Linked DNA regions of Arabidopsis thaliana. The protein of the gene in region 1 interacts with the protein of each later gene in a pairwise test. Each region holds a gene or a part of one and is shown on either strand. Other genes may lie near its edges.

Evidence for each region. The genes of interacting proteins can lie anywhere in the genome.
Region 2: the proteins of AT1G16960 (region 1) and GLR1.1 interact in a protein complementation assay, tested with the Arabidopsis thaliana proteins (one large-scale study listed by BioGRID).

The regions. Positions count from the first base shown.
Region 1 is NC_003070.9:5,795,477-5,801,387, forward strand, and holds AT1G16960 (Ubiquitin domain-containing protein), read left to right. Parts: upstream 1-4,264; 5' UTR 4,265-4,521; coding exon 4,522-4,555; intron 4,556-4,685; coding exon 4,686-4,808; intron 4,809-4,883; coding exon 4,884-5,006; intron 5,007-5,083; coding exon 5,084-5,148; 3' UTR 5,149-5,411; downstream 5,412-5,911. Other genes in the region: AT1G16950 (uncharacterized protein), read left to right, coding at 607-888; KU70 (ATP-dependent DNA helicase 2 subunit Ku70-like protein), read right to left, coding at 5,683-5,796.
Region 2 is NC_003074.8:1,074,314-1,080,460, forward strand, and holds the start of GLR1.1 (glutamate receptor 1.1), read left to right. Parts: upstream 1-2,922; 5' UTR 2,923-3,047; coding exon 3,048-3,303; intron 3,304-3,486; coding exon 3,487-4,694; intron 4,695-4,782; coding exon 4,783-5,095; intron 5,096-5,184; coding exon 5,185-5,519; coding exon of another isoform or gene 5,520-5,608; coding exon 5,609-5,923; 3' UTR 5,924-6,147. Other genes in the region: AGL57 (AGAMOUS-like 57), read left to right, coding at 986-1,609. UniProt on the Arabidopsis thaliana protein: Glutamate-gated receptor that probably acts as a non-selective cation channel. Can transport sodium, potassium, and calcium ions.

The sequences.
Region 1 (5,911 bases):
TCGTCTCTTATGGAACATCTCAGTCAGCAACTTAGCAAGACATTGAACAATTTTTTTTTTTTTTTTACCACCTAACAAACAAAATATTTAACTGAATACAAACAACTAATTATTTTATATACCGTTTTATAGTGGTGATCAAAGTAAAGACAAAACAAAAACCAAAAAGAAGATATACATATATATTTTATATGACATTTATGTTGTATAAAACTCAATTCTGCTATTTTGATATTATTGTTAAATTATCATATTCAGATAAGCAATGAAAAGCATGTAACGTGAAAGTGTTTTTGTCTGCTGCTTGGAATTATAACATACACTTTGTCAAAAAAGAAAGAAAAAAACACCTACATATATGCATTGATCCATCAATTACAAACATAAACACTTTATATATACGAACTCACCAATTTAGTTCATTTGTACCTAACCCAAATAAATTTCCATTGACCTCATCCATCTCCTGTTCTCTCTATATATATCCACTCTATCAAAGTATTCACTCACAGAAACACAACCAAATCCCAAAAAATAAACTAAAAATTTCTTGCTTCATAACTAATTAATTAATATCTAAAATTATACAACAAAATCAATCAGGTAATGGCTCGTCCAAGGATCTCCATTTCGATGATTTGCTTACTCATTTTGATTGTTGGTTTTGTCTTGCAATCTTCTCAAGCTAGAAAAGTTCTAGTCCCTTACGGCACAAGCAAGGGTTTGTTTCTTAGTGCCCTACCCAAGGGCAATGTACCACCTTCGGGTCCAAGCGACAAGGGTCACACTTCTCCTCCGGATGATACCGACCAGCGTATGGTACCAGAAAACTCGCCGGAGATATACCGTCGACTAGAATCAGTCCCTAGCCCCGGCGTGGGTCATTAGGCACATTAATTGATTGTCGTCTTTTCACTTCATATATGTTGACATGTTGTCGAATTCTATTCACAATGATATCATATACCGTTCGTAAGTCTTCTCAAGAATGTTTGTGTATGTGTGTCTTCATATATAATTGATATAGATATGTTTGTGTGTGATCCGATCCGTTATTGAGTAATAAAAAACCACTATTCTACACTTTGATTTATCATTTATTCAATTATATATGTTGTCGAATATTGCAGATCTCTATATGTAACGACATACAGCTTTTGTCCGTTTGAAAATATTATGTATTTAGAGAAAACTTAGTTTAAATGATATTCTTATGACTTATTTGTCAATTATCGCTTAGAAAAACCGAAGTTATCAAAACTATTTTTGTCATATCAATTTTTTTTCTTGCATTAAAGAGATTGAGTTCATGTGTACACTTTCTTTTATAATTAAAAAAATTATATTCTCAAAGTATCAGAAAATTTGATTAAATCCTCGTTTTATTTTCGATAGTGTGTATTTAGAAGAACTACATTCTTAATTTGGTAAAAAAATTCATTTGTGGGTATAAATAATATAAGGCTATTAATAGTTGCCCAATTGTAGTTCACACGGTGTCCAAAGAATACTATAGACTCAAAGGGACAAATTACATCATACGATTTTTACACAAATATAAACATGAACGTACGATTGGTGCCCACCATAATCGATACAATGTAAAAAGGTTGCGTACGTAAATCATATTCTTCATGAAGAAAGCTACATATAAAGCCTGTAACTTAGAAAGTAAACAATAATTCAAAAGCTTCGTTTTGACATCTTCGTAGAAAAAGTTGATGATTTGACAATAATTATGTCTGTTTACGTAAGAGACGTCTTCCTCTCTCCAGTTGACATTTTTGTTTAGTGAAATTGAATAGATTCAGGGTTTCGACTAAAGAGAAGAAGAAGAAGAAGAAAAAAGAAAAGAGAAAATAGACATGCAATAATATAAGGAACACCATTATTGCTCATCTCAGGGATTATACTATTTAAGGACTTACTTTTTGCCAAGAAGCTCTTTCCTCACTTTCCTTTTTTGTATTTTCTTAATAAGTTTAACTAACCAACTAGTAGTAAGATGGAGCCGCTTGTTATACACATTCAATGCATGTGTATATCTTTAAGTAGTGTTTTTTTGTTTGTCAAGTGATAATAATTACTAACTTCAAGTAGTTTTTTTTTGTTTTTGTTTATATATAGTTAAATGTATACAATATAATATATATAGACTGTATTAGAATATATTCATAATGATCATTATCACGAATGGTGTTTGTGTTTGCCATTGGACGGCTGCGAGAGAAAAGACGAGTAAGAAGAAAAATTTAGGTCTAGGAGCTTTATTGCTCTGATTCCATGATTATAGAAGTGATGATTTTATTATAATACAGAGATGAGCTTATATACAAAGAGAGATATCTAGGGTATTACAATCAAAGTAAATGTGAATATATGACTATAGATAAATAGACTAATGATTGATATAATCAAAGATATGAATATTATCTAATAGACTGTAGTGAAAATCCTAGACACAAATATTTCTATTAAAATTTTACTTCTAATAATAATTAAAAAAAAAATTGGGATATTCCTATGACTTTCCATATGTAACGTCATGTCACATAAAAGTGTTGAAAATGGAAATCCTTACTTTGAATTTAACTCAAGAAAATTTTAAAATCATATTGTCGAGTTATATAACCCAAAACTAGTAGGTTTAGATAAATATTACATGACACGCTAATGTTATATCAAAGCATGAATTCTGCTGTCAGATGAATGTGGTTACAATCTCAAAATCATGAAAACTGTTGAAAAAGTCATTTATAAAATGTTTTGCTTCCAAAACCCAAAGCTAAAGTTTAAATCGTTCAATGGGTCATTATCATACATTAGTCTACATAAATCTTGGTAAATTTGCACTATTATAGATTCGTTTGAAACTTGTGAACCACGTTAATTTCATTATCAGCAAATGAATTGTACCAATTTTTTATACCATTGGTGCGTCGTTGTTATAGAACAAAATCCATTATTTTCGCTTCATATTCTTTGACAATGATGTATCGAAGTTCACTTCACTTTACCTGGTAGAGTTGTTAAGTGTTAACTAAGACATTGGCCATCTTTATTTGACATTACCACAAAATAAAGTAAAACTAAAACTTATGATTTTGCACTCCGTATGAAACGGCACGGTTGATAGAAGCGGATAGTTACGGGCCTTACAGGCTTATAAGCCCAAAATTTTCAAGCTAAAAGCCCAAAAATACAAAACTGGCTTGTTGCAAGTAGTCGCTCTTGAAACAGCGTGAGTTTCCAATTAAAACAATTAGATGAGTACCCGCACGTAGTGCGGGTGTATGTATTATTATTTACAAATTGTTTTATATAATGTTTGTTCATATAAAGTAAAGTTGAATGCATCGGTTTTGAAACATAAATATGATTTGTAATTGTTTTTAAAAAGTCCAACTATATTAGTTCATTTGAAAAACGAATGTGCTTGAGTTCTTTTTTATTGTTGTTTTAAATTCTCAGTTTTTTTTTAATTTATATATCTTTGTTTTTGGTTATAAATGTAAATTGTGAGACGGTGAAATTTTAGAAAATTTATTTCTTACACTATAAATATACCATGTCTTTATTAACCATGTCTCTGCATATTCAATCTAAGCTTATTCAACTTGATGTTCTTGAAAAGTTTAGTTAAGTTCTTGTTATAATCTTATATCTTACGTTTTAGTTATAAGGATGGCTCCTCAAACATCTTTCAAATTATTTGTTTTCTTAGCATAAATCTCGAAAAGCTTAGATATATTTAATCTGCATATTCATTTAGTTTCTTTCATAATAATCGTCTAATTTTTAGGCAAGTAATATATGTAGCATGTTTGGATTTTTAGCCACTTAAGTGGATCTCGAAATTAAAGAGGATATATTGAATTAAAAAATGTAGAAAAAGTGATGGTTCAAGTTCTGATTAATTATATTCTTTATGTTGAATTAATTACTAATTATGTATTACTTATTTTATGAAGTTTAGGTGGCAAGCTCTTATGTGCTGATGTGTCAAGTTGTTGGAGAGAGTTAGCCTCTTTTCGTATATATGATTTGTGGTATATAATGAAAAATAACTATTTCGGATTCATATATAAGAAGCTTTTCTAGCAAACACTCCACGATTTGGATTTGAGATATCGGCTGTTACATATGTTAGATATATTTAGTATGAATAAATCTATAAAAATAATTGTATCGTTACGTATGTTTTTATCTTTAACCATAAATAGTTAGATGATGAAATTCCAAACTACCACATCTTTGTGGCTCACGAGTATCTCACTTTGAACAGACCAAACATTATGGAGAGCAAAAAAGAAGAAAAAAAAGAGCAACCTTGTGATTCACGAGATAACGCAAACCTTTGTCTCTCACCATCATACAAAAAATATCTCTCTTTCTAGTTAATAGGTATTTACAAATCTTGTAAACTTAATCTCTCTCTATCTCTCTATCTGCTCTGTTTACTCTGCTTTGTAAATTTTGTAATGTTCGTTTGTTGTTATCGTCTACTAAGGAAGACAAATAATGGGTTGTTCTAGCTCGAGAACCATAGCAGAGGGTACTCTCTCTCTCATCAAATGAGAGTCAAGAAATGACCCACACACATCTGATCTAATGTTTTCTTCTTCATGATTATTCTTACTGCTGAGAGTATCTCTGTGGACTGTGATTTGATTGTGTGTTTGTAGGGAAAAAGGAGAAGATTCGAAGACCAAAAACATGGAAACATCCTCAACCGATATCAAGAGATGAGCTCACACAGATGCGAGAGGAGTTCTGGGACACAGCTCCTCACTATGGAGGCAAGAAAGGTGATCATCACATATAAATAATTATGTCAAGAGTCAAAAGTGTTTGTATTTCAATGTATATACATATGTAAACAGAGATATGGGATGCGTTACGAGCTGCAGCAGAAGAGGATGATTTATCGCTTGCGCAAACGATACTTGAGAGTGCCGGTGTGATTGTTCAGAACACTGACCTCACCATTTGTTACGACGAGAAAGGTATTAGTCTTATTCTTCCACAAGGTTTGGTTTTGGTTGATTTTGTGCAAAGTAGTTGAGATGTTTAACTTTTGCAGGTTCCAAGTATGAATTGCCTAAATACGTTCTCAGGGATCCTTCAAATTTGATCCCAACCAAATAGAGAAATTCAACAAAAGACTACGAAGAACGAGAAAAGCTCGCTTGTGTATGCATTCTAAGGAATCATGTTGTGTTTAATTTAGTTATTGTTTGGATATGTTATCTTGTGTATATGAGAACATATGTGAGAAGTGAAATGGATTACAAAGGTCCAAAAGTTCCTTTATAATTTTTCCATAAAAAAAGAACCTATGATCAATAAAACTACGCTCATACCACAAATTGTTATCTCTTGTTTCTATCTTGTTGTTCAAGATTCATAAGACTTTTTTTTATAACCTATGGAGAATTATAAAGAACCTTATGGAATTCGTCAAATATAAACTCCACCATAAAGTTAGAGCCAAGATCACAAATTAGTGATTACCCAAAAGAGACCATTACAGTTAAATCTAAAACCCTTTGTAGCTGAGGCAAAACGATGAACAATGACCCGGAAGATAAATGGGTCCAGTTCCCATCAAAAACAGACAAGCTTTTCAATAAAACTAAAACGTAGCTTCTCTAGCAGGAGTTATATAACTCACGGTTAAAGTTATTTACCAATGTGAGTCAGAATCCGATTGATCAGAACTTCTTTCTTCCCGCTGACGAGGAGATTGTTGGCAGTCAGATATGTCTTCAGTTCGACCACAGTCAAGTCCTTCAGCTAAACAAAGAAAACAGAACATGAAGATAGCTTATTTAAACGTAGAGATCTAAAAAGCAATGAAACAAAAAGATGAAATCATTAAGCAGAAATCTAAATTAATGCTTAGAATTTT
Region 2 (6,147 bases), on another chromosome or scaffold:
ATACGTGGACTTAAACTAGGTTTTATTAGAGTTAATAATTAGAGTTTAAATTAAGCATATAAAAAGCGTGGATTTTATTTTATATTAGCTAGCTGTAGCCTATGAGAGGAAATATTTTTCATGTGTTTCATGTTATATAAATTTGGAAATTTATAAGTATAAATTGCATCCCTTAAGTTATTGTTATTTTAGAGAAAATAGATTAAAGTTATTTTAACCTAAAATTAAATTTTTAAATTTTTTTTTTATGTTTATATATTGACTTCAATTCTATTAGCTTTAACTAGCTTTCCAACGGTAGTAATTTCAAGTCAAACGGAATATTATAGCAATTCTATTAGTTTCAATTAGCTTTCCAACGATAGTGATTTCAAGTCAAACAAAATATTATAGCAAAAGTTATGACTAATCAAATGAACGGACTTATACTAATACAAAAAAGTTTTATTTTTTAAATGAAATTTGATAGAAAAATAAGATAAATTTGGATTTTGAAGTTTTTTAAAAAAATTATATGACTAATCTACAAAAAAATAAGAATATTATGGACAAATTTTGTAGTAGATATCTTTTATATCAAATTTTTCCTATTTTTTTTGTAACAAAAGAATTTTGGATCTGAGGTATGTTCCCTGTAAGGGATACACAAACTCGTAATTACCTAAAAGAACATTCCTCCTTGAATGGTCAATTAGCCTTTACACCAGCTATTACACCAATTGGGTTACCATAATAGTTTCTTGACTGATTAATGAAGATGTTAAAGTGGTTGCCAAATGTGTTTAGTCAACATTTTTTTTTTTTTTTTGTAAATTAGTCAATACACTTTCTTCATAACTAAGATTTAAATTTAATGTCTCCAAACTTTGTAATCCTATCTCTTTCTTTGGTCTATAAATAGATTGTGTTTTGCGCATGGTTTTATCATTACATACAAAATAACAAACCTACAAGAAATCAAACACTAGTTCTGGTTTCTGCAAACATGTCATCTACGAAGCAAGCAAAGGGAAGAAAAACAAAGGGGAAGCAAAAGATCGAGATGAAGAAGGTGGAGAACTATGGAGATAGGATGATTACGTTCTCAAAACGTAAAACCGGAATTTTTAAGAAAATGAACGAGCTCGTAGCAATGTGTGACGTTGAAGTGGCTTTCTTGATTTTCTCTCAACCCAAGAAGCCCTATACATTCGCACATCCGTCTATGAAGAAAGTGGCTGACCGGTTAAAGAACCCTTCGAGACAAGAACCATTAGAGAGAGACGATACCAGACCCCTCGTCGAAGCTTATAAGAAACGAAGGCTCCACGACCTCGTAAAAAAAATGGAGGCGCTCGAAGAGGAGCTTGCGATGGATCTAGAGAAGTTGAAACTGTTGAAGGAATCGAGAAATGAAAAGAAGTTAGATAAAATGTGGTGGAACTTTCCTTCGGAAGGTTTGAGCGCGAAGGAGCTGCAGCAAAGGTACCAAGCGATGCTCGAGTTACGTGATAACTTATGCGACAATATGGCTCACTTACGATTGGGAAAAGACTGTGGTGGTTCATCTTCTGTTCGTGTGGGACGTCGAGTTTCTGGTGGTGTTCGTCTGTTCGATCGTGAAGCATGATCATACATATTCATACTTGATGATTTAAATTTCTTTGTATTTGAACTGCTGATTTTAATACTGCATGTATCCATTTGACGAAGCTCAATCGTCTCGAGTATATCTCTATTATCTAACAGTATTGAGAAAAAAGGAGTTTCAGTTTTCAAAAGTTGAAAGACTGAGCCAAGTGATGACAAATTCGAGCGTTAGGGTCTTCACAAATTGGATATTTTGCGAAAAATCATGTTAGTTTTTTATTTGATGTATTATTAATAAGAAATGAGGGTTTCCTTTTTTGAAGTAATCAAAAGAATTTTCCATTTTTGCGTCCAATCATGTAAAACTTAACCATTCCTTTTGTTTCCTTTTAAAGATAAAATTCCTTTTAAAAGTAATTTTTCATTTTCTTCAGAAACCTTTCGGTCATAACCTTCTCTTATAAAATAATAATCTCTTCTTACGAATCAAAGGTCTCTTATTCGAAGGGCAATAACATTTGACCATAAAAAAAACCCCATATATATATACAGTGTATATATATATTTTTGCCCCTTTGTGAAGAAAATAAAACAATCAGAGATGAGCCCTAAATTTTCCAACCATGCGACCGTTTATGTGATCCATCGTTGCGCGGGTATATCGAAGATCGTATTATGAGTCTTTTTATGATCGTATTATCCTTTGTGCGAAGTACAACTATTGAACAAGACGAGAAAAAGTTTTCATTGCGCAGGTAAGTCGCGAGGGAGATGTATTCCATAAGTATTCTATAAGCCAAGTCTCCTAATCTCCCTGGTAACGTTATCTCATTCCACATGTACTCTATAAGTATTCGCGAGCGTGTGGTTTCGATAGAGTAATAATTTAATGATTGTAGAAGGAGATGACTGTGGGATCATCCTAGACTAGAGTTTTAATCTCTTGATTTGATTTTTCCTCGACGAGTTGAACTAACCAGCTTGTGATTTTTTTTAGCTTCTCGGGTTGTGGTAGATTTTATTATATATCACTTGGTTGTCCTATCACTTGAACTCGAATATTTACTTCTACGAATTGACTTTGCGAAATAAGCTAATATATCTAGTATTATGGTTTCCCCTGCATATGTATTTTACATTGTATTTAACCTGGATTTTGAAATCAGTTTTAAAAGTAACTGTTGAAAACATAAATTAAATAAAACTTTTTTTAAGGCTCAACTATACTTTAGAAGGAAATAAATGTGTTTCCTAGTCAATTTGTGTCGATGAACAGTACACATTGACTTTGATTGTGTGCGATATCGCGTTAGTTTGATTTAAAATGATTGTGACCATACACTTCAGAAAATCAAAATGCAATTTGACCGGAAAAAAAAAATGGTCCAGTATAATTATTATTCCATGGCACAAGTAGATATGGAAACACCATTGTTTATAACCCAAAGCGAACGTTACAGAGCTATACAAGAAATTATATGGAGATTCTGTTTTCTATTTCCATTCTTGCTCTTCTCTTTTCCGGAGTAGTAGCTGCTCCAAGCGACGATGATGTTTTCGAAGAGGTTAGGGTTGGATTGGTGGTTGACTTGAGTTCTATACAAGGCAAGATTCTGGAAACTTCTTTTAACTTAGCGCTTTCAGATTTCTATGGCATCAACAATGGATACCGAACCAGAGTCTCTGTTTTGGTCAGAGACTCCCAAGGAGACCCGATCATTGCTCTTGCCGCCGGTGAGTTTTCATCTCCCTTATTCAATTATTGCAATTTTTGGTGGGATCCACAACTCCTCTTCATTTAAAGCAGACTGAATCAAATAAAAAAGAATTGACCTAGTCCCGCCGGTTTACTCCGGTTAACATTCTCATGTCTTGCACTAACCGTTTTGCACTGCAATTTGTGTTTGTATGAAACAGCTACTGATCTTCTCAAAAATGCAAAAGCGGAAGCCATTGTTGGTGCACAATCATTACAAGAGGCAAAGCTTTTGGCGACGATTAGCGAAAAAGCTAAAGTTCCGGTCATATCTACTTTCTTGCCAAACACGTTATCTTTGAAGAAATACGATAACTTTATTCAATGGACGCATGATACTACATCAGAGGCTAAGGGAATTACAAGTCTCATACAAGATTTCAGTTGTAAATCGGTTGTGGTTATATACGAGGATGCTGATGATTGGAGTGAGAGTTTGCAAATATTGGTTGAGAATTTTCAAGATAAAGGAATCTATATCGCTCGTTCTGCTTCTTTTGCAGTCTCATCATCAGGAGAAAATCATATGATGAATCAGCTAAGGAAGCTTAAGGTCTCAAGAGCATCGGTTTTTGTGGTGCATATGTCCGAGATTCTTGTTTCTCGTCTCTTCCAATGTGTAGAGAAGTTAGGTTTGATGGAAGAAGCGTTCGCTTGGATCCTCACTGCAAGAACCATGAACTACTTGGAACATTTTGCAATAACTAGGTCGATGCAAGGGGTCATTGGTTTCAAATCTTACATCCCTGTATCTGAAGAAGTTAAGAATTTTACTTCAAGATTGAGGAAACGTATGGGAGATGATACAGAAACAGAGCATTCTAGTGTAATCATCGGTTTACGCGCACACGATATCGCTTGTATTCTAGCAAATGCAGTAGAGAAGTTCAGTGTAAGTGGTAAAGTTGAAGCATCTTCGAATGTATCAGCTGATCTTCTGGATACAATTAGACATAGTAGATTCAAGGGTTTGAGTGGTGACATCCAAATCTCTGACAACAAATTTATCTCAGAGACATTTGAAATCGTGAATATTGGAAGAGAAAAACAGAGAAGGATAGGATTATGGAGTGGTGGTAGTTTTAGCCAAAGAAGACAGATTGTTTGGCCTGGCAGGTCTCGTAAGATCCCAAGACACCGTGTTTTGGCAGAGAAAGGTGAAAAGAAGGTGCTTAGGGTCTTAGTTACCGCAGGAAACAAGGTCCCGCATCTAGTGTCGGTGCGTCCTGATCCTGAAACAGGTGTTAATACTGTCTCTGGATTCTGCGTAGAGGTTTTCAAGACTTGCATTGCTCCTTTTAACTACGAGCTTGAATTCATACCTTACCGTGGAAACAATGACAATCTTGCTTATCTACTTTCTACTCAGGTGTGAAAATGCAAACAGTTTAAAAACATTTTTCTAGTCAAAAATGATTATGTATGTTTCTAATAATGTGTGTTTGCAATTTTGACAGAGAGACAAGTATGATGCAGCAGTTGGTGATATCACCATCACTTCCAACAGATCTTTGTATGTTGATTTTACTTTGCCGTACACTGACATTGGTATTGGAATCTTGACAGTGAAAAAGAAAAGCCAAGGGATGTGGACCTTCTTTGATCCTTTCGAAAAATCCTTGTGGCTAGCAAGTGGAGCTTTCTTTGTCTTAACTGGGATTGTTGTTTGGTTAGTTGAACGGTCCGTTAATCCGGAATTTCAGGGCTCTTGGGGACAACAACTTAGTATGATGCTCTGGTTTGGTTTCTCAACCATTGTATTTGCTCACAGTAAGTGTTTATGTTAGAGTACTACTCTTCATGAAATCCCATCCTTTTGTATATTTTGATCTATAACAAATTACGCACATTCTTGGCAGGAGAGAAGCTACAGAAAATGTCATCAAGATTCTTAGTCATAGTTTGGGTTTTTGTGGTGTTAATATTGACTTCAAGTTACAGCGCAAACTTGACATCAACCAAGACCATTTCTCGCATGCAATTAAATCATCAGATGGTTTTCGGGGGATCTACGACGTCAATGACTGCGAAGCTCGGATCCATTAATGCAGTTGAGGCCTATGCACAACTTTTGCGAGATGGAACTCTTAATCATGTCATCAATGAAATACCTTATCTCAGTATCCTTATCGGAAATTATCCGAATGATTTCGTAATGACAGATAGAGTGACTAATACCAATGGCTTTGGCTTTGTATGTACCCTTCTCCTCAAACCTCTCATTTTCTCTCCATTATTTGGTTACTTATTCTTGTTACGTACTAATTTATGTTTACCTCTCAGATGTTCCAGAAAGGTTCGGATTTGGTTCCTAAAGTATCGCGAGAAATCGCGAAGCTAAGATCATTGGGAATGTTGAAAGACATGGAGAAAAAATGGTTTCAAAAACTGGATTCACTAAATGTACATTCCAACACCGAGGAAGTTGCATCTACCAACGACGATGATGAGGCATCTAAGCGATTCACCTTCCGTGAGTTGCGCGGTTTGTTCATCATTGCGGGAGCTGCTCATGTTCTCGTACTAGCCCTACATCTCTTTCATACGCGTCAAGAGGTATCACGACTATGCACCAAACTTCAAAGCTTCTATAAGTAAAAAGTGATCCATCGTTCATAAGCTCTACTATAGCAATTGACGGGACAGGACTCATAAGTAACAACAAAGTACACTTCGAAACAAATTTCACATGTAATACTTGTTTTTTTTTCCCGTTTAAATTCACATGTAATAATTTAATTCACGTAAATACTAAAGTGATTCACCCATCACGAAGTATTTTTTGAATTAAATACATCAACTAATCGAGTTTTTGATAGGGA